Sus scrofa: one gene and its partners. The protein of the gene in region 5 interacts with the protein of the main gene of each other region in a pairwise test. Links are inferred from orthologs where the notes say so. Each region holds a gene or a part of one and is shown on either strand. Other genes may lie near its edges.

The links.
Region 1: the proteins of NUDT18 (region 5) and RABAC1 interact in binary tests that used the Homo sapiens proteins (3 or more experiments, as listed by UniProt). The two-hybrid records come from large-scale screens. The link is inferred for Sus scrofa from reciprocal best matches to the Homo sapiens genes NUDT18 and RABAC1.
Region 2: the proteins of NUDT18 (region 5) and GLUL interact in a two-hybrid assay, tested with the Homo sapiens proteins (2 studies listed by BioGRID and IntAct). The two-hybrid records come from large-scale screens. The link is inferred for Sus scrofa from reciprocal best matches to the Homo sapiens genes NUDT18 and GLUL.
Region 3: the proteins of NUDT18 (region 5) and HSD17B14 interact in binary tests that used the Homo sapiens proteins (3 or more experiments, as listed by UniProt). The two-hybrid records come from large-scale screens. The link is inferred for Sus scrofa from reciprocal best matches to the Homo sapiens genes NUDT18 and HSD17B14.
Region 4: the proteins of NUDT18 (region 5) and NADK interact in a two-hybrid assay, tested with the Homo sapiens proteins (2 studies listed by BioGRID and IntAct). The two-hybrid records come from large-scale screens. The link is inferred for Sus scrofa from reciprocal best matches to the Homo sapiens genes NUDT18 and NADK.

The regions. Positions count from the first base shown.
Region 1 is NC_010448.4:49,932,094-49,936,246, reverse strand, and holds the start of RABAC1 (prenylated Rab acceptor protein 1), read right to left. Parts: upstream 2,809-4,153; 5' UTR 2,660-2,808; coding exon 2,604-2,659; intron 2,353-2,603; coding exon 2,140-2,352; intron 1,860-2,139; coding exon 1,762-1,859; intron 304-1,761; coding exon 202-303; intron 118-201; coding exon 29-117; 3' UTR 1-28. UniProt on the Homo sapiens protein: General Rab protein regulator required for vesicle formation from the Golgi complex. May control vesicle docking and fusion by mediating the action of Rab GTPases to the SNARE complexes.
Region 2 is NC_010451.4:123,752,570-123,756,080, forward strand, and holds part of GLUL (glutamine synthetase), read right to left. Parts: intron 3,018-3,511; coding exon 2,871-3,017; intron 2,474-2,870; coding exon 2,346-2,473; intron 2,152-2,345; coding exon 1,952-2,151; intron 1,121-1,951; coding exon 802-1,120; 3' UTR 1-801. UniProt on the Homo sapiens protein: Glutamine synthetase that catalyzes the ATP-dependent conversion of glutamate and ammonia to glutamine.
Region 3 is NC_010448.4:54,141,334-54,145,437, forward strand, and holds the start of HSD17B14 (17-beta-hydroxysteroid dehydrogenase 14), read right to left. Parts: upstream 2,811-4,104; 5' UTR 2,638-2,810; intron 2,278-2,637; 5' UTR 2,200-2,277; coding exon 2,112-2,199; intron 1,589-2,111; coding exon 1,550-1,588; intron 1,357-1,549; coding exon 1,274-1,356; intron 737-1,273; coding exon 655-736; intron 1-654. UniProt on the Homo sapiens protein: Catalyzes the NAD(+)-dependent oxidation of L-fucose, yielding L-fucono-1,5-lactone, which rapidly converts spontaneously to L-fucone-1,4-lactone. Can also act on D-arabinose and L-galactose, with lower catalytic efficiency. Does not use NADPH.
Region 4 is NC_010448.4:63,856,579-63,860,089, forward strand, and holds part of NADK (NAD kinase), read right to left. Parts: intron 236-3,511; 5' UTR 220-235; coding exon 1-219.
Region 5 is NC_010456.5:6,378,905-6,383,068, forward strand, and holds NUDT18 (8-oxo-dGDP phosphatase NUDT18), read right to left. Parts: upstream 2,809-4,164; 5' UTR 2,654-2,808; coding exon 2,492-2,653; intron 1,571-2,491; coding exon 1,357-1,570; intron 1,104-1,356; coding exon 511-1,103; 3' UTR 83-510; downstream 1-82. UniProt on the Homo sapiens protein: Mediates the hydrolysis of oxidized nucleoside diphosphate derivatives. Hydrolyzes 8-oxo-7,8-dihydroguanine (8-oxo-Gua)-containing deoxyribo- and ribonucleoside diphosphates to the monophosphates. Hydrolyzes 8-oxo-dGDP and 8-oxo-GDP with the same efficiencies.

The DNA of each region.
Region 1 (4,153 bases), on a different chromosome or scaffold from region 5:
GGGAGGCCGACATGTCCTTGAAGACACCTCACACAGGTTCCATCTGCAGCTCCTCCCCGTCCACAGCCTCTATCTGGTGGAAGGCGGCGTGGGAGCCGATGACCACGAGGGTGGCTCCTGGGGGAAAACGGGCAGCTCAGGGCCTGCTGCCTCCCCGGCCCCCACTGCCCACCGCGCCACCGAGACCCTGTACTCACTCACCTAGGACCCAGAAGACGGCGGATCCCGCGCCAGCCAGCCAGAAGAAGGGAAAGGAGACGCCCCCGGCCAGGGCATACTGATGGGCGGGGCTCACCTCTCGGCCTGGGGGGGCAGATGGCATTGGGACAGCTGTTCCACACCTGTCCCCTCTCCCAGAGTAACCCCCAAAATGCCTTATGCCAAGGCCCTCCAAGTCCGGCCCCAGCCATTTCCCCAGCGTCCCCACCCACTGTCCCCTGAAACAGTGCACCTTCCTCAGTAATCCCCCCCACCGCCCTCCACCCTTCAACTTTACTTCTGCTAGGAAGCTCCCAGACTCTCCCTCCCCAAACTACAGCTTTCCTGCTCCAACCTGCCCTCGCATAGACCTGGGTTTTCCAACTGGCATCCCAAAGGCCCAGGCTGACACCTAGACATGTTTTTTGAGTTTGCATATTATTCCACAATAATTTTTTTGCTTTTTAGGGCCGCACCCACAGCACATGGAAGTTTCCAGGCTAGGGGTCGAATCAGATCCACAGCCACAACAACGCGAGATCCGAGACACGTCTGCAACCTACACCACAGCTCACGGCAACACCAGATCCTTAACACCCTGAGCGAGGCCAGGGGTCGAACCCGCATCCTCGTGGAACCTAGTCAGGCTTGTTAACCGCTGAGCCACGATTTGTTGATTTGCTGCTGACATACAGACAGAATGATTTCACACAGCAATACAGTCGGCCCTCTGTATCCGCAGATGGGCACCCGTGGGTCACTGTACTACATCATTGCTACATCAGCAACTTGAGCATCCTCGGATTTGGGTATCCAAAATCTGGGGGCTCCTAGAAAAGCTGAGAGATGGCTGTATAGACATCTGGCTTCTTGTGGCAGATTGGAAAGTCAGACTTGCAAACCCTGGCGGCAGCAGTGGCTGAAGACAAGTTGTGACTATGCTCTGGACGCTCCCTCTGTGCCCTGTGCTCGCCTGACATGCTCCTCCACCCAGCCCACCCTTACCAGATACATAACTGGCAGGCTTCTGATGGATTCTGTCTTAGGTCTACCTGTTTCTTTGATTCCAACTCCCCCTTATCTCCACTCCAAACCTTGAGTTTCCCTTAGTTGGGAACTCAGGCCCTCTTTCTTCCCAGTGGTGCTTGGTGCCAGTCTAGGACCACATGAGCCACAGGCCTCAGCTTCCCTCTGAGAAGTCCCAAGATTTTTCTACTCCCATCCCAGGAAGCACGAAAGGGGGAGGACAGATTTAGGCTAGAGTAAAGTCGCCACCTGGCGTCCAATGTGGGTACTTGCAGCTGATGCTTTTGGCAGATGAGGGAGAGAGAAGGAGGAGGTTTAAAAGGCCAGCGGCTAGGTGGAGTGGTTCTTGGATATCTTCTGGGTTTGGGAAACAGCAATTTGGGGGGACTGAGAGTGGATAGGAGCATCAGGTGTGGGTATGGGGAATCTACTGTAGGTCTAGGATTGGGCAGACTTGGGTTCAAAAGGACTCAGGTTTGAGGTCTAAGGCTTGGATTCAAAGAGCCAGGATCAGAGGAGTTTGGGCAGATTTCTCACCAAACAGCACAAACTTGGACTGCAACGTGCGCAGATAGAGGATGTAACAGGCGCCAAAGAAGACAGCCAGAGCTACCAGCAGCATGGGCGATGTTACCCTGGAGGAGGGCAGGGAGGCACAGTCAGGCCGCTGGGGCTGCGTCAGACACGAAGGCCCTGACCTTCTACACCTGGGGACGTCCTTAGGACCACGCAAGTCTAGGTCATGTTTGGTCCCCCTGCATCCCAGCCAGGCTGATGGAGTAGGGACCTGGTCCTCTGGGGTAAAGATCCCACAGAGCTATCCCATGGGGACAGGGCCTGGCCAGTGCAGACATGGCAGCCTGGCGGGGGCGGGGCCTGGCTGAGGGGGGCTGTTCTGGCCAGAGAGACACTCACACGCAGTACAGGATGAGGCCCAGGAACACAAACACATAGTTGCTTTGGTAGTATTCCACGTTGCGTACGAGGCGCTGGCAAAGCTCGCCCAGGTTGCGGGGACGCGAAAAACGCCGCTGGTCCACGAAGGAGCCCCAGGGGCGGATGGTAGCACGGCGCCGCTCCAGCCACTCACGGCCCGCGCCAGAGGGAATCAGTTTCGGCAGCAGGGTCCTGGGGGGTGCGGGACCAGGTCAGCGGTAGACCGGGTTGGAGCCCGGACCCCCGAGCAAGAAGGGGGCCGAGGGGAGCGGGACTCCGGGGTTCTGGGGGGCGGGGGAGATATGGTCCAGGACTCCTGGATTCCAGGGGAGGAAGGGATTGAGCCGGGGCCAGGAGTCCGGATTCCTAACTCCCCAGGGATGAGGGGCGAGAAGCCATGACTCTCGGGTCTAGGTCAGGGGGGCTAGATTAGACTTGCTTACGTGGCGCTCAGCCCTTCCGCCTCGGCATCCTTCTGCTGGTCCTTCTCGGCCGCCATGTCTGTGTTGTGAGGGGAAGAACCGCTGTAACGAGGCTGGGGCCCTCCACACCCCACGGGCCCCGCCCGAAACCGGCCTCACTCGAAGTGGCCGGAGGGGACGTGGCGCCGTTCCGGCGCCGCTGGGGGCGGTAGGTTTGTCACGGAGTATTATGGGAGTTGTAGTCCTGACGATGTCGGGGAGAGTAGGCGCCCTGGTGGCTGCATGGCTCGAGGAGCACCTTGGGAGATGTAGTCGCGTAAAGCGACGTGGGTGCCTCGGGGGCATTGTGGGAGTTGTAGTTTCAAAGGTAGGACGTGCGAGGTCAGAGAAAGTGAGCTGTCAGGAGTCAGGGTGTCGGGGGAGTGTAAAGGCAGAAGACGTCGTGTACTACCCCGAGCAGTCTCTGTACAGTGGGGACTGTGTAGGGCTGTCATTCTGACTCTAAGGATATTAAAAAAAACCGTGATTAAACACTCAGATGTTCTGATTTATCAGATCTGGGGTGAGACCCATTCACTGGCTCTTTTTTTTTTTTTGTGGCAGGCAGGGAGTGGGGTGGGTGGGGACATGCTACGTTTTCTGGCTAAGGATCGAACCCTAGCCACAGCAGCAACCCTAGCACAGCAGTGACAGTGGGGGATCCTGAGCCACCAGGGAACTCATGGACCACATTTGAATAGTGAGACTGTAGAATATTTGTAGGAATCCATTCCATCCTTCTTCAAAGGCTAGTGAGGGGGCCATGGTTGCTGAAGGGGGTTATCTAAGATGGGGAGCAAAGCTCCCCCACAACTCTGGGCTCCTAAGGATGGATGGGTTAGGATTAGGACCTCAAGGATGCCCCTGCTATGGAGAGGGTAAAGGGAAGTAGGGGAAAGTAAAGGGGTGAGTTGTTTTTTTTTTTTTTTAATCTTTTTTTATTCCAGTTTTATTGAGGGGAATGAGGGATTTTAATTTTTAATTTTTATTTATTTATTTATTGTCATTTTAGGGCCACACCCGTGGCATGTGGAGGTTCCCAGGCTAGGGGTCGAATCAGAGCTGCAGCTGCTGGCCCACACCACAGCCACAGCAAGGCGGGATCCGAGGCACATCTGTGACCTACACCACAGCTCACAGCAACGCCAGACACTTAACCCACTGAGCAAGGCCAAGGATCAAATACGCGTCCCCATGGATACTTGTTGGGTTTGTTACCACTGAGCCATGATGGGAACTCTGAGAATTTTTAAAAGACGGAGTAGTTACAACTAAAAGAACTGGATTTCTTGGGTCAGAGGTCAAAATCCAGCCTGTGTTGATTTCATCAACTCCCTGTCTTCATTGGACAGTGAAGATCATCCTGGTTCCACACTCATGGGTTAAGGTTGGGTTGAATGATCCATGTGAAGTGCTTGAAAGAGTCTTGCTATTTTATAACCACTCAATAAATGGTGATGTTGTTTTTGCCACTACATTGTCATGAATGTTATGATTATTTCTAGAGTTCAGCCTTCTCAAATATGTCTGTA
Region 2 (3,511 bases), on a different chromosome or scaffold from region 5:
CCGTCTCAAATTTGGCTCCCAGTGACCAGAATGGTTTTCTCTCTTAGGAAAAAAAAAAAAAAAAAAAAAAAAAAAAAAAAAAAACCATTATCTGCACACCCATATATATAATTTTTTTGTTTTTACATTTAAATATAAAAATACTACTCTTCTTTGTGTTATAAATGGACCAGACAGTAAGAACTTTTTCTTTTAAGGTAGGGCTAGCCATCCATTTACGCCGAACATAATCAGGGCCTTTAGCCCCAGGCAAGGGAAATACCACACCAGATCGAGGGCATTTTCCTACCTCATTTCCCACCCTTCCTTCTCTCCTAATGCTCACCCTTAAGAGAAAGTTGGTTCTAACCTTCTAAGGAATGGAAGGCCCACCAACCAAGAAGGAGACTTCTAACCGAACCAAAGTCAGGTCCTCTGACCCCTGACTCAACTACCACTCAGAGAAAGTCTGCCCCTTCCCTGCACAAAGACTATGTTCTCTGTCCGGATAGCTGTGCCTACTGGACAAACACACCTGATGAAATGGAAGCAGTGGTTATGACTCCCCACCTCCCTCCCCACTAACACACTAGAAACTTCAGTGATAGGGAAAAAAAGGGGCGGGGGGTGTGTGTGAAGAGATTAGGAACTTGAGCCCTCTATCCTGGCCAAAGAAAGCAAGAGATATTAACTGGGCATGAGGAATAAAAAAGACCTTGCTATTCCGCCCTTTGAGTTACAGCTATTACGACAGTTGAGAGGGGCGAGGGGGGGGGCGGTGTAGAATTAGGAGGGGTTTTGATGGCTGCCCGTCTAGTCCACTTAGTTTTTGTACTGGAAGGGCTCGTCGCCAGTTTCGTTGAGGAGACACGTGCGGATGAGAGCTTCTGTCACCGCAAAGGGGTCACAGTTGGCAGAAGGGCGACGGTCTTCGAAGTAACCCTTCTTCTCCTGGCCGACAGTCCGGGGAATGCGGATGCTAGCGCCACGGTTGGCCACGCCGGCAGAAAAGTCGTTGATGTTGGAGGTTTCATGGAATCCAGTTAGGCGCCGGGCGTTGTCCAGGCCCCCCTTGGGATCGTAGGCTCGGATGTGGTACTGGTGCCGCTTGCTTAGCTTCTCGATGGCCTCCTCGATGTACCTGGAGGAAAGAGTTAAGATGAGAGTCCGACCTGCCACCAGGAGACCCGCCCTTCAAAGGCAGAGAAGCAGGTATGGATCCAAGGATGGAGTGACTCATCTACAAAAGATTGTTTTCCAGGGATCAATTTTCCCAAGCATGGCCCCAGGGAACAGCTCCTCCCCAGGGGCAGTACTATGCTTTGTAACCCTTGTGTCTTTGTGCTTAAGAGCGCTGGTCTTCTCCTGTGTTGAATGAAAAGACCCCCATCCAAGACTTTCTCCCACTCACGGGCCTGAAGTTGATTCATAAGCTTGTGTTGCTGCTACTTTAGTTCTGTAGATTTCCAAACGCATTAATCTATGTCAACTTTCCCCGATCACCATCCTCGAATCCTGCTCCTAATAGTATTTTGGGGGTACTTTTCAAATAGAAACCAAACATCAGGATCAGAGGACAATTTTTGAAGCTGAATGCTAAGAGCTAAGGCATGAACTGAGGAGGCCAGCTTACTCATCCCCAATACATCAAATTCTTGGCAAGCATTTTTTTTTTTTTTTTTTAACTTTTTAGGGCTGCACCCGCAGCATATGGAGGTTCCTAGGCTAGGGGTCCAATCAGAGCTACAGCTGCTGGCCTACACCACAGCAACACCAGATCCGAGCCTTGTCTGCAACCTATACCACAGCTCACAGCAACGCCGGATCCTTAACCCACTGAGTGAGGCCAGGGATCGAACCCGCAACCTCATGGTTCCTAGTAGGATTCGCTTCCACTGCGCCAGGACAGGAACTCCTTGGCAAGTATTTTTGCAAAGAGAGTGAAATGGCTCCAGCAGGAGCCCACACTCACTTCAGACCATTCTCCTCTCGCATGGCCTTGGTGCTAAAGTTGGTGTGGCAGCCGGCACCATTCCAGTTCCCAGGAATGGGCTTAGGATCAAAGGTGGCGATCACTCCGAAGTCTTCGCACACACGATGCAAGATGAATCGGGCCACCCAGAGGTGATCTCCCATGTCGATTCCTTCACAGGGTCCGATCTGGAATTCCCACTAGAGAGAACGAGAAGAAGATTGGCCTTTAAAGCAAAACCAACTGCTCGCCCCAACCCACCTGCTCCCATTTCACTTCTATTCCACAGCACCTCGAGAGTGCTGGGTTAAGGACTGGTGCATCACAGCAGCCCTTGCTAGCAAAACCCTCATTTGCCTACAGGCGGGGAAGGTGATGGGCTAGAGCCATTTACCTGGGCGGGCATGACCTCGGCATTGGTGCCCCCAATCTTGATGCCGGCATACAAGCAGGCCCGGTAGTGAGCCTCCACAATGTCCCTGCCATAGGCTTTGTCTGCTCCAACACCACAATAGTACGGACCTGCAGAGGCATCAAGGTGGAATGAATGTCAAGAGGCAAGACATGGAGAAAATCCCTAGCTAGGTAAGATGACCGGCCCAAGTCAGATGTCAGAAAGCTCTCAACCACTTGCTCTCTAGAATCCCATCCCTAACTGTCCCTGGACGTAGAGGAGTGGGTGCAGGGGGCTCCTCTCATAAAGCCAAAGGGTTCCCCTCAGTGTTAATGTCTAAATGTCCATGCCTGGATCTGGGTGACACAAGGGCTCTACAGTATTATTTCAACCAGTCTCTGGGATACTACTCCTCTACCTTTTTAATCCACGAGGATTCATTCCAATCTCTGGAGAGATACTTTTTTCTTTGCCAACTAACACTTGGGGAAAAAGCAAGATTCCTCTCTCACCGGGAGGACTCACCTTGGGGCCCAGGGAAGCCATTGGAAGGCCAACCAAAGGGGTGTCCATCTGTGCCCATGAGAGTATATTCCTGCTCCATTCCAAACCAGGGGTGCTGGTTGCTCACCATGTCCATTATCCGTTTACAGGTGTGCCTTAAGTTGGTCTCTAGGAAAAAGAAAGAGCCAACACACTTATTAGAGACGCATGGGCAAATGTACCGAATGCACATGCGCCTGAGGTGGTTTCCAGGAATCCACACACCTGAGATGATGAGTGTTGGCTGCACTGTAAGCTTTCAGTCCCCGCTGGTGTAAAAGCGGACAATGAGAGAAGCTATAATTATGTATCTGTAGGGAGACTCTCAAAAGGCTTTATTTATAACTAAACTGGGTTACAACAAAGTCACACGGCAGTGGATCCAGAATAGAGCACGTTTTCACTTTATCTGCAAGCTGGCCCCCTCCCAAACGCCAAATGTCAAGCACTTAAACTCTCTATTCACTAGAGAACTGCTTCTCGCTTTCCATCTATTCCTAGTTTCTCAGGCATTTAGAGCCAAATCTACAATTTTGACTGAGAGAAGAAGAGCCTTACATTCTAGGTGAGAAGGTAAACCACTACAAAGTTCTATAGTATTGGCTGGTGCAAAAGCAAACAAA
Region 3 (4,104 bases), on a different chromosome or scaffold from region 5:
GCGTACTTGTTCACAGTCACAGAAAAAAAGAGCCATCCGCCTCACTTTAAAGAAACTGAGGTTGGAGTTCCCTGGTGGCTCAGCAGACTAAGGACCTGGCATTATTGCTGCTGTGGCGCAGATTCAATCCCTGACCCTGGAACTTCTGCATGCCATGGCCAAAACCAAACCAAACCAAACCAAAACGGAGGCTGCAAGATGGACGCTGTCTGCCCAAGACAGTTAGGGTGATTAGGGGGCTGAGCAGTGACACAATTTTTTTTTTTTTTAGGGCCGCACTCGTGGCATATGGAGGTTCCCAGGCTAGGGGTCGAATCGGAGCTACAGCCTCTGGCCTACATCACAGCCACAGCAATACGGGATCCGAGCCGTATCTGCACCACAGCTCACAGCCAGATCCTTAACCCACTGAGCAAGGCCAGGGACTGAACCCGCAACCTCATGGTTCCTAGTCAGGTTCATTTCCTCTGCACCATGACGGGAACTCCGCCCAGTTACACTATTTAATACTCTCAACACCCTGTAATGGCAAGGACAGTGGTGGTCATTGTCATTTTAGAAATGTAGAAACTGAGGCATAAAGAGGTGGCGGCACAGGCCTGGGGACACAGAGCAGCAATGGGACAGAGCCCGGGAAGCGGGTTGACAACTCACGGGAGCCGGCGTTGTTGACCACACAGTCCAGGCGGCCGAAGCGGCGGATGGTCTCAGAAAGAGGGTCTGAGGAGAAAGCTGTCTTGTGAGTGAACAGCATTGGCGCCCCTGCTGGGCTCCCCCAAGTGAGACGTGGCAGAAGCGGAGTCACCGCGGAGGGGACAGGACATTGTGGGGGCCGACCCCAAATCGCCAGGCATGGCAGGAGATGAGGAGACTGGACGCCAGGGTGCCAGAGACCAGAGGGCTGGTGACACACACCCTGAGCTCACTACTCCAGAGACCCAGGAGGGTGGGGGATGGGGGAGCAGATGAAGGGAAGGGGAGAAACCCTGGGAGAAGGAGAACTCTTACTGGATCCAGATCATGTGACAGGAGGGACCAGGGGCCTTGAAGGCCTGGGAGATAGAGGAGAATCTTCTCGGCAGACACAGGACGTGGCCAGCCGAGTTAGGAAAGCTTTGCGATGAAACTGAGCTGAGACTCTGGGGGCAGGTGTCATTTAGCCAGGAGATGGGGAAGGGTAGAGGGAATAGCATGTGCAAAGCCCGGGGTGAAGGGAGAGAGAGAACGATTGGAGATTGAGGGGGACGGGGAGGGACAGAAACTACGCGCTCACCTTCACATCATCCTCTTGAGTCACGTCACAGAGGACAAAGACAGACCCAGGCAGCTCCTGCTCCAGGGTCCGACCAGTGGACTCTGCAGGAAGAGAAGGGCTGGGGGCTGGAGCCTGGGTCTCAGAGAGGAGGGGCTGGGGGCCCAGGATCCTGGGTCTGAGGGAGGAGGGCTGGGGCTGGATCCTGGGTCTGAGGGAGGAGGGTGCTGGGGCCTGTATTCTTCTTGAATCTAAGGGAGGAGGCAGTGGGCTGAGGACTGGGGGACCCTCACTCACCGTCTTTGTCACAGATCACCACCTGGGCGCCACTTTCCACTGCGAATAGACAGGGAATAGGTTAGCCCTGCAGAGACCTTGGTGAAGATCTCTGCTGCCCTCTGTGGCCACCCGGAACAGGGCCGTTCCCCCCCCACCACCGCCCCAGCTCTGTTCCCCTCGTGACCCCAAAGTCTCATGATGATCCCGTAGGGCAAAAGGCAGAAGCCTAGCCTTCTCCTTGGCTATTCCAGGTGACTTCTGGGGCTCCTGAGTCTCCATCCCTGGGTTCTAGAGTAAACCCTAAACCTCCAAAAGACATATTCCTTCAACCACCACCCCCGGCCCCCCATTCTGTAGCAATAGCTGAGACCCAGAGAAAGGGAGTCAATGGCATTTGAAAATCCGCCGCAATCTCAGGCCCCAGGCCACCTCTGCCTTCCCTTCGTTAACTTTGCAAATTGGATTTTACGAGACAAGAATCTAGATTCCAGTACAGAAGATACTTCGTCCCACACCCATTAGCCCCCGGGTCCCTCCGCTCCCAGACTCCACTGTTCAGAGCCGACCAGACCCCACTCACCGAAGGCTCGGACGATCCCAGCTCCGATGCCGCGCCCGCCCCCCGTCACGATTACCACCTTCCCGGCATAGCGCGTTCCCGTTGCCATCCCGCGTCAGAAGGTCTCCTTCGGCCACTCACTCACACTCACTCGAGGCTTCTATCCCCCTCTGAAGTCCGGTGAGGTCTTGGGGTCGAACCATAAATAGGGGCTGGATCCTGAAGCCCGGCCCCGGGGGCGTTGCCAGGAAAGCCAGAAGCCTGGAACTTGGCCCCAGCCCCCTCCTCCCTCAGACCCAGGAGGCCGGTCCCCCAACCCTCAAACTCGGGATTCCTGGAGTCCGGCCCCCTCTGCCGGACCTTGGACTCCAAAGTCCAGGTCCCGGGTCCTCTCTTCCTTCAGACCCAGGAATCCAGGTCGCCGGCCCCCTCCTCCCTCAGACTCAGTAATCCAGACCTCGAGCTCCCCCCGTTCCTCTGACACACAAAGCTGAGTCCGCTGTCCCCTCCTCCCGCGGGACCCAGGAGTTCACCACTCCAGCTCTACCTCTTCGAGACACCGGTGTCACAACTCCAAACAGACAGAAAGTTATCGACTAAGAGTTCAATGTTTTAATCCAAATTTGGACAAGTATTGGGAAAATCAAACTTTGGCCAAAGTAGCCACTCCTCGGCCACCGGGAGGGGACCAGATCACGCCCTCAGGTGAGGGAAGAGGCTCCATCTGTCCCGGAAGTACCTCCGGGACACGCCCTCCAGCTCTGATTGGCTGCCCTGCTTGGGCGGGTCAGAAGCTGGACTGTAGCAGCGTGACTCTCAGAGGCCACGCCTCCTCGTCTGGGGTTAGCGCGGGAGGGGCGGTCCCGGAATCCCAGGTCGGCTCCCAAGAGGCCGGGCCTGCGTCGCGCCCAGTCCCTCGGTGGGAGAACCCCGTGGAGTGGGAACTGGCCACTGGAGGAGATCTTGGGGGCGAGGACACGCAGGGCGTGGGATCTGACGGAGGTGGCGACGCAGGGGGAAGAGGGTCTCCTCGAGAGTCCAAACTGCCACCTGGAGAGGACGGACGGAGAACGAGAATGGCAAACTTTGGGACCCAGAAGTCCCGACACCCAGGACTTTCCTCTCAAACCTAGGAGTCCAGGCTCCCCGTCCTCTCCTCCCCAGACACGGCAGTCCTGGGATCCAGTCCCCTCCTACTGGGGTCTGGAACCCCCAAGCCCTGTCCAGCTCTTTCTTTACCAAGGCAGAGGGTTTCTGGCGGTCGTCGGACCCCCCTCCCCACCAGGACCTAGGATTCCGGGCCTCCAGACTCCCTCTTCCCTAACACCCAGGAGCCCAAGGTCCCCAGCCCATTCTCACCTGTCATCATTCGGTGCCACTGTGACGCCTCAGCAGCCAAGGCTTGAGAGAGGCTGAGAACTCGCTCCCGGTGACCCTCAGATGTTGGTAAATAAGGGGTCGTGTTCCTCGGACTAGAAAAAAGAAGATGCAGGGGTGGCCTTGAATAATTTGCCTGTAAGGTGAGGACCACGGTGCAGAGCGTGTCCTTCTGGGAGTTGTAGTCCCTAGCATATGGCTCTAAAGGATTTTGAACAGGGCGAGACCCTCTTTTTAAGTCTGCGTGCATTATGGGATCTGTAGTCCAATTGCCCGAAAACTTCCCGACAGAGGAGCAGAGTTTGACAGCAACGGTGGAACCGCTGTGAACTAGGGCTTTCTCATTCCCCAGGAATTCAAGCGTCTCTGAAATGTTCTGCCATCCATACCCTGGTACTCAAGAGTACTCAGGAGACATTAATACTTAATGCTACTCCTCACCCTTTTGTTGACTTTCTTGCTTCTAGTTTGGATCTCCAATTCCTTACCTGCTCCAGGACCCAGAGCTTCTGAGCCATTTCTGGCTCCTGAGTGTCCCAGGGCAGGCTGCAAAGGAATTGGAGCATTAGAATTCCTCCCCCAGGAAGCCCTCACGTCCTCATTTTGAGGATGAAGTGAAGGAGCTTAGCGAAGAGAG
Region 4 (3,511 bases), on a different chromosome or scaffold from region 5:
GCTCGCCAGGGCGGGGGAGGCTGACAGGCTGCGGGACTTGGCCCGCCCCCGGATGGGGTGGCCGAGCGCCCAGTCCTCGTCCCCATGGCAGGCGGAGCAGCGGTAGGAGGCGGCGTCTGCGCTCAGCTCCTTACTCCCATTGACTTTTTCCTGCTCCATTTCCACAGCTGTTGCCCGAGGAGCAGGTGGGCCTGGAAACGCCGGACGCCTTGGTGTCATAAAATAAAGGAAAGACCTACGTAAAAACAGCGAACACACACGTACCTAGCAGGGGGAAAAGCACGGAAATCCAGTTATCAAAGGACTTCACCCGGGCTGCTTCCAACACAAAGATACTTCCAGCTCAGAAATCTACCTCTGTTTTTTAATTAATCTGGAAGAGCTAAGTCCACGAGTAAGAAAAAATTACCAAGTGAGAACGCAGCCACACACCAGGGGATGCGTGGCCCTTTGACGAGAGGCAAATCCCACTTGCGGCGCAGTTGTAAACGCCTCTCAGCCAGAACACGTGGGTGATTATCACTGACAAGACCAAGGAGGCCAAGTCCTGCAAACAGAGGCTGCAGTTTTATGTCATTTATTTCACTCGTTCATTTATTTTTTGTCTTTTTAGGGCCACACCCACGGCATATGGAGGTTCCCAGGCCAGGGGTCGAATTGGAGGTACAGCTGTTGGCCTGTGCCACAGCCACAGCGACAAGGGATCCGAGCCGCGTCTGTGACCTACGCCGCAGCTCAGGGCAACGCTGGATCCTCAACCCACTGAGCAGGGCCAGGGGTCCAACCTGCGTCCTCACGGATTCTAGTCAGGTTTCCTGCTGAGCCACGATGGGAACCCCTATTGTATGTATTTTTTTTTTTTTGTCTTTTTTTTTTTGTTGTTGTTGTTGCTATTTCTTGGGCCGCTCCCCCGGCATATGGAGGTTCCCAGGCTAGGGGTTGAATCGGAGCTGTAGCCACCGGCCTACGCCAGAGCCACAGCAATGCGGGATCCGAGCCGCGTCTGCAACCTACACCACAGCTCACGGCAACGCCGGATCGTTAACCCACTGAGCAAGGGCAGGGACCGAACCCGCAACCTCATGGTTCCTAGTCGGATTCGTTAACCACTGCGCCACGACGGGAACTCCTATTGTATGTATTTTTTGATGCACTCGTGGCACCTGGAAGAACCTGGGCCAGGGACCAAAGCCTCTGCAGCGACAATGCCAGATCTTAACCTGCTGCACCACCTGAGAACTCCTGAGCTTACACTTTTAAAGCGATCTATTTGGTCATCAAAGAAAACTTCAACTTCCGAAAGTTAGTGGAGACTCTCATCTTCCAACTAGAACACGGCAAAGCAGGAAACGACAGAAGCCGAAACAGAACAGTTCTGAGGAACCAAGGGCACCTGGGAGCGTCTGAACTCTGTCCCAGCCGACCCGAGCTCAAAACTGGCACCCAACCGACGAGACAGCACTCGGACCAGACGAGCTGGGACCCCAAGCCCAGGACCACCCCCCACCATCAAGCTGTGCTGGGATCCTCGAGAATTAAGAGCAATGAGCTAAAGTCAACAAAGCCAGAAGATGAATAAAACAAACCTAAGGAAGGCAGAAAAGGGGACAAAACACAGGCAGAAAGCATTACAAGGACAAGGAGAAAAGCAGCAGAGCTTGGAGATAAAGGACATCAACCAGTTTAGACTGAGGGATGGAAAGAACTACACTCACCGAAAATCCTGGACCAAAAGGTGGTCATTTTCTCAGAAAGCTGCCAGTTCCCAAGAGAGGCGTGGCAGTGCCACAAACCACGGAGGACCTCACGGGGGCCCAGACCCTCCTCCTGGAAGGCCCAGCCGGGCCTGAGCTCACTCCAGTCGTGAACAAGCACAAAGACAAGCCCAGAAGAGCCCACAATGCACACGACACAGATGCCAGCCCTGGAAGGGACAACGTGGGGTTCCCGCAAGGAGGCAGAAGGAACGTGCTGGAGCCACAGAACAGCCTGGGGCCTCTAGGATAAGGTCAAAGGTAGCAAGTCCCCTGAGCTCTCAGCCACCTGGCACTTCACAATCCACTAAGGAGTCTCCCGCACCTGAGCCAGACCAAGGGCATCAGCAGCTTTAAAAGCTCCCGAGGTAATTCTAGGAGTTCTCTGGTGGCTCTGCAGCTTAAGGACCTGATAATGTGGGATGGGTTAGAACACAGAGCTCAAGGGACCAAAAAGACAGTCAACAAACAAATGGATTTTCAACAGAGGGGATTCCACAGGGAGACAAAATCTTCTTTCCAAATACTTCTAGAAGAACTCCAGAAACTCTCTGGTGATGCAGCAGTGGAAAAAACCCAGGAATTTGCTGGTGACCACAGGCACACCCTGCCCTCCCCCCAAAAAAAACCACTGGGCAAAAGATCCCAACTTTGGGCAACTTCCCCAAAGATATACTGACTGCGAACAAGCACATGAAAAGATGCCCGGCGTCTTTAGTCATCAGAAGTGAATTAAAACCACAATGAGATACGGCTCCCATGCATGGAGAATACCAAAAAGGTTAGAAAACTGACCACACCAAGTGTCCCCAGGCCAGGAAGGCATTGGAACCCTCATGCACCACTGGTGGAAATGAAAATGGTATAACCAGTTTGGAAAATAGTTTGGCAGTGTTTTCTTAAAACGTTAAACCCAGGTTCATCCTCCGTGTGTTTCCATCTCAGATGTTTACCCAACAGAAAAGAAAGCATGTATCCACACCGAGACACCCGGCCACTAAAATCTGTGATTCATTCAACTCTTTGCTCAAAATTCACCTCCTGGAGGACAACCCTTTGCCTCCACTCCTTATTCCCGCAGGCAGGGGCTCCTCTTCCCCAGGGCGCGACCTCTGCCTGCCCTGAAGTGACCCTCTCTTCTCACTTGTGTCTCTTTTGGTCCGAAACTGCGCGGCTCAGAGAGGTCAGCGCTTGAGAGGAGCCCCACGGAACACGCACCATTACTAGAGACCAAGGGGCGGTAGCAAGCAGAGGGCCGAAAATAACCCCCAAGTTAACGACAATAATAACAATTATAGAAAGGGATGCCAACACTCTGGCCAAACAAAACCTGAAGACCCCTCGCCAGGCGCTGCACAGGCTGGAAGAAGCTGGACGGCCAGCAAGGAAGGCCTGTCTAGACAGCACACTGAGCTGGGCAGGGGAGGCTGGACCCCTAGAAGGTGCGGAAACGCCGTCATTCCACGGGGCGCGGGGTACAGAAATAACTCTCTAGTAGGAGTACCATAACCCTGAGAATACAAAGAAAAGGAATTAATTACATCCTATGATGCTCAAGTTTTCAGAAGGCTTATAATTAATTTTATAACCGCTGGATTTTTACATATTCTATATCATGGGTAACATCCAAAGGAATGAATCTCTCGGAGTTACCGTCGTGGTGCAGTGGAAACAAATCTGACTAGGAACCAGGAGGTTGTGGGTTCCATCCCTGGCCTCGCTCAGTGGGTTAAGGATCCTGTGTTGCTGTGGCTGTG
Region 5 (4,164 bases):
TACCACTGAGCCACAGTGGGAATGCCCCACCACCACCTTCCTGCTCATTCCCTCCCCGCAGAGACAATGAGGTGAGAAGGCAAAGTGAGCAACACCTCTTTACTCAGCCAGGGACCCACTCCCTTGGAATGACCTTCCTCAGTGCCCCCTCCCTGTTCCAAGTGCCCAAGGATCCGGATGAAGCCTTCACTGAGGCAGGCCTGGAAAATGATGAGGCGATGCCACCCCTGGTTCAGAAAGTCCTCACATCCCCTTAGGGAGTCATGCCATCATTGTCCCCTTGGGCAACTGGGTCTATGAGCTCTGCTTGATTGAAGGCACTGTCTCTTTTGGTGCAATGCAGAAACCTGGTCCATGGTGATGAGAGACAGAAGTCTCCCTCGGAGCCAGGAGAACTGTCCTGGTTCTGATGTGACAAGATCCCTGACTGCCAACCCTGTCCCCCTTAGAGGAGGCAAAGCCTCCTCTAAAGCAGAGATGCCCATGTCCTGGCCCACAGACAGCAGCCTCCTATCTATTGATTGGGACCACAGATGATTCCTGAAGCCTCTGTAAGAGCTGGCTTTGTAGGTCTTCCTCCACCTTCCACCAAAAGAAGTTCTCACCCCGAACCTTTGGGGGCTCATTTTGGATACCTGGATTCCGGAAAGCCACCGTCACCAGCACGTTTAAGCAGATGCCATCCGTTTGGTCTCTGCCCAGGTGCTGCAGTCCAAGCAACCCCTTGGTCTCCACTGCCAAATGGTGCAGGGTCAGGCACTCCTGTAGCAGCCTCAGGACAGCCATCTTGATGCCACCCCTCTGGTCCATGGGAGCAAAGCCACAGGCGGTGATGGGCAAGTGAGGCATCCCCACAGTGCCAACCAGCACCCACACTGTCTGGACACTGGTAAAGGTGGCCACAAGCCGCTGGCAGATCAAACTGCAGGGAAGCTCTTGGGGCAGAATGAGAGGGTGCCTGGCTTGCTGGCGATACTGCACGGCTAGCTCTACCAAGTGCAGAATGTCATGGGCTCGAAGTGGAGTGGGCAGAGAGGTTCGTGGGTACCAGCCAGCCTGCAAGGACTCTGCATCTGCTTCCTTGGAAGTCTTAAGAATTCCACCTGGGATAGATGTGGGGGAAAAGGACGTGGAAAAAGTCTGTTGAGGGAAGTGCTGGACCTGGCAGAATAAAGGCCCACCCAGGAATCGAGCTCTGACCCAGCAGGTGCACAGGAGGCCCTGAGTCAAGTCTCAAACTGGAATCTGGCGATGCCAGGCTTGAACCAGCCAGAACAGGGGTTCAGCTCACCTGAGAACAAGCTGGGGAAATGGTGTCAACTGCCCCTGCCCACACTGCCACCCACTGGGCCATACCTGTAGGGCGAGCAAGGAACACGAAGCGGATCCAGGAGGGGCCCCGCTCCTCCAAGGACAGCAGTGTCAGAGGCTCACAGTGCAGCCCAGCCTCCTCCTTCACCTCCCGCTGCAGCGCCTCCACGATGGTCTCCCCAGGCTCCATCCTCCCCGCGGGTAGGTACCACGACCCACGGCACTCTTTCTTGGCTTCCTGGACGAGTAGCACCTCATCCTGAGGGGAGAGAGAGGATTCTTAGCCACCACAGCTGGGCTGGGAGCTCCAGGGGAGTGGGACAGCCAGCAACCTTCACTTGCCGAGATCAAAGCTCAGGTACAGCTGCTAGTGGACACCCTGAAATTGCTGAGCTCCCCAGGGGCCTGGCCCTTGTGTGTTGGTAGATTGCAGCTGTCTCTGCAATTCATCCCACTTTGTATTCAAGTTTCCATTTCAGAAGGGGGCTGAGATTCCTGTGAGCTGCTTCAGGGGCCAGAGAACAGGCCTCACAGCGAGGGTTGTTACCATGTGCCCCGCCATGATTTCTGTCTGCACCAGTCAATGATCTCTCCCACCTCCCTCGTGGTTTATAAACTGCTTGTGGCCAGTCTTCACACTGGGCTGTCAGCTTTGAAACACACCCCAAACCATGGCCCCATTGAACTCCTACCTATGGCCCTGACGCCTTCTAGCTCTTTTTACAAGCCACTTATGCAGGGATCTACACCAAAATGAGCATCACACAGGAAGTCAGAAGGTCAGAGTGTAAGCGCAGGTTGTGCAGTTACTGCCCATGGGACCCAAGGGGGGAATCTCTGAAGAACTGGACAGATCTTTTAAAAAAAAAACCACGTCGCGGCGGGCACTTTGCTAGATTCTGGGGAAAAGAGGAGGAAGAGACAGCCCTCTCCTCAAGAAACTGAGGCCTAGTGGGATGAGACAGACGGCTCCTGGGCCTCAGTTTCCTCCTCTGTACTTCGTGACAATTGCAGGGCTCGGCCGCACCAGGCTCAGATATAAGTGTAAGAGTGCTTTGCAAAACTGGGAAGAGCCACACACCAGGAAGCGGTGGCTGCTGCCGGTAGGTCCTCGGTCCCCACCGGGGCTGGCTGCGCGCTCCGGAGGTCCGGGCGGTGGGCCCGACCGGCGGACGCTCACCTGCTCGTTGAGGAACACGGCCAGCACCACGTAGCAGACATTCTTCCGCAGCCGCACGGGCGCCAGCGGCTCCCCGGCCGGTTTCGAATCGCAGCTCTGTACCCGCAGACCCCGGCCCCCCAGAACGGCCGCCAGCGCCCCCGCAAGGCCTTCCGAGGCCATCGGGTCCCCTAAAAGGCGATGGGGAGGGCCCCGAAGACCCGCCGAGAAGGGTAGGGTGGACGTGGGTGACCAAGGGACTCGTCGCCCCCAACCCCTCCCCCTGCGGGCTCGGGCGGAGAGCGCTCGCGAACGCGGAAGCACCCGGCAGGCCCTGGCCGCTGATAGGCTACGCGTCACCGCGGCCGGCTAGGATTGGCTAGAGCGTGTTCGTCACTGTGAGGCGGAGCCAGTCCATAAGGGGCTGGGCGCCGCGCCCCCGCTCTGCGGCCCCCGGCAGGCTTCTGACGCTCGGTGGCTCCCTCCTTTCTCCCCGGCGTCTCCCGCCGCCAGCCTCGCTAATTCCTCCCGCGCGCACTTGTCTGAACGGGTTCCGACGGTGACGTCACCCTGCCCGCAGGCTGCGGAGCGCCGCAGCCGCCAGCGACGGTGACGTCACAAGCCCGATGCTGTCACCGGGTCCGCCCACGGCTTGGACCCACTGGCTAGCTTTTGTCATAAACATACCACTGCATTACCTGAAATGACACTGCCCAAATAACCTTTCTTCGCTTAGAATGTCACGGGGCAAGGAGGACGAGAGCTCCTGCCTTGGAGGAGATTCCGATCCAGCTGGAGAGGTGGCCATAGCTATATAATGGAAAGTCAATGGACTTAATAAGCCAAGTGCTAAATGACTGGTTTGGGCAGGAATTGCTACAGGCGCTCAGAGGAGGGAGGGAGCAGAGCTGGGAAGGTCAAGGTGTGCCTGGCGGTGGGAGGCTGGGAGGCGAGGATTTGATGCAGAGAAAGGGCCTGGGATCAGCCCTCAGCAGTGTCCCTGGTCCCTCGCCTCCGGCGGCCACATTTCCCAATCATCAGTTTCAGGGCCCTCTCCCGCCAGGGGCGGGGTTCTGCCTTTTGTCATTGTTGCACACACACACCCCTAACACTTTCACAGGGCCTGGTCCATTGACAGCCAGGTGCGGGTTGTTTTTTGGGGAGCTCCTGCCTCTCCCCTGGCCTGACCTTGCCTCCTCAGAGCGTCTTTAACCTCCTCTCAGGACAGGGAGGCAGGGCCAGCTGGCATGAAACTGAAACCAGCCATTTCTGAGCTGCTCAGCCCCAGTGAGATCTCCCATTTCCCTTCTGCTGGCTTTGGGCACATCCCTTTTGGGGTGACAGTTGCTTGGTGGAGCAGACAAAGCATTGGACTTGGAGCTGGATGCCCAGCCACTGCTCCCTGGCTGATCTGTGCCCTGAGTAAGTTGTGGGCCTGTTCCCTCATCTGTACAGTAAGCTCCTGACAGCTCTTCCTTCCCAGGGCTGTCGGGAAGGTGAGACGTCGTGAGAGGAGCCCGGTAGACTGCGAAGTGTGGGTCACCATCAACAGGCAGCCCACCAACCTTCTGGCCACAGCACTTGTTGCTACCACACAAAGACCCACTTTCACAAGATGTGCCTAGAGAGCTGCCATGAACTAGATGTTACTCTCAGGAATTCCAGCCACACCAAATCCTTAGCCCCTTCTCACA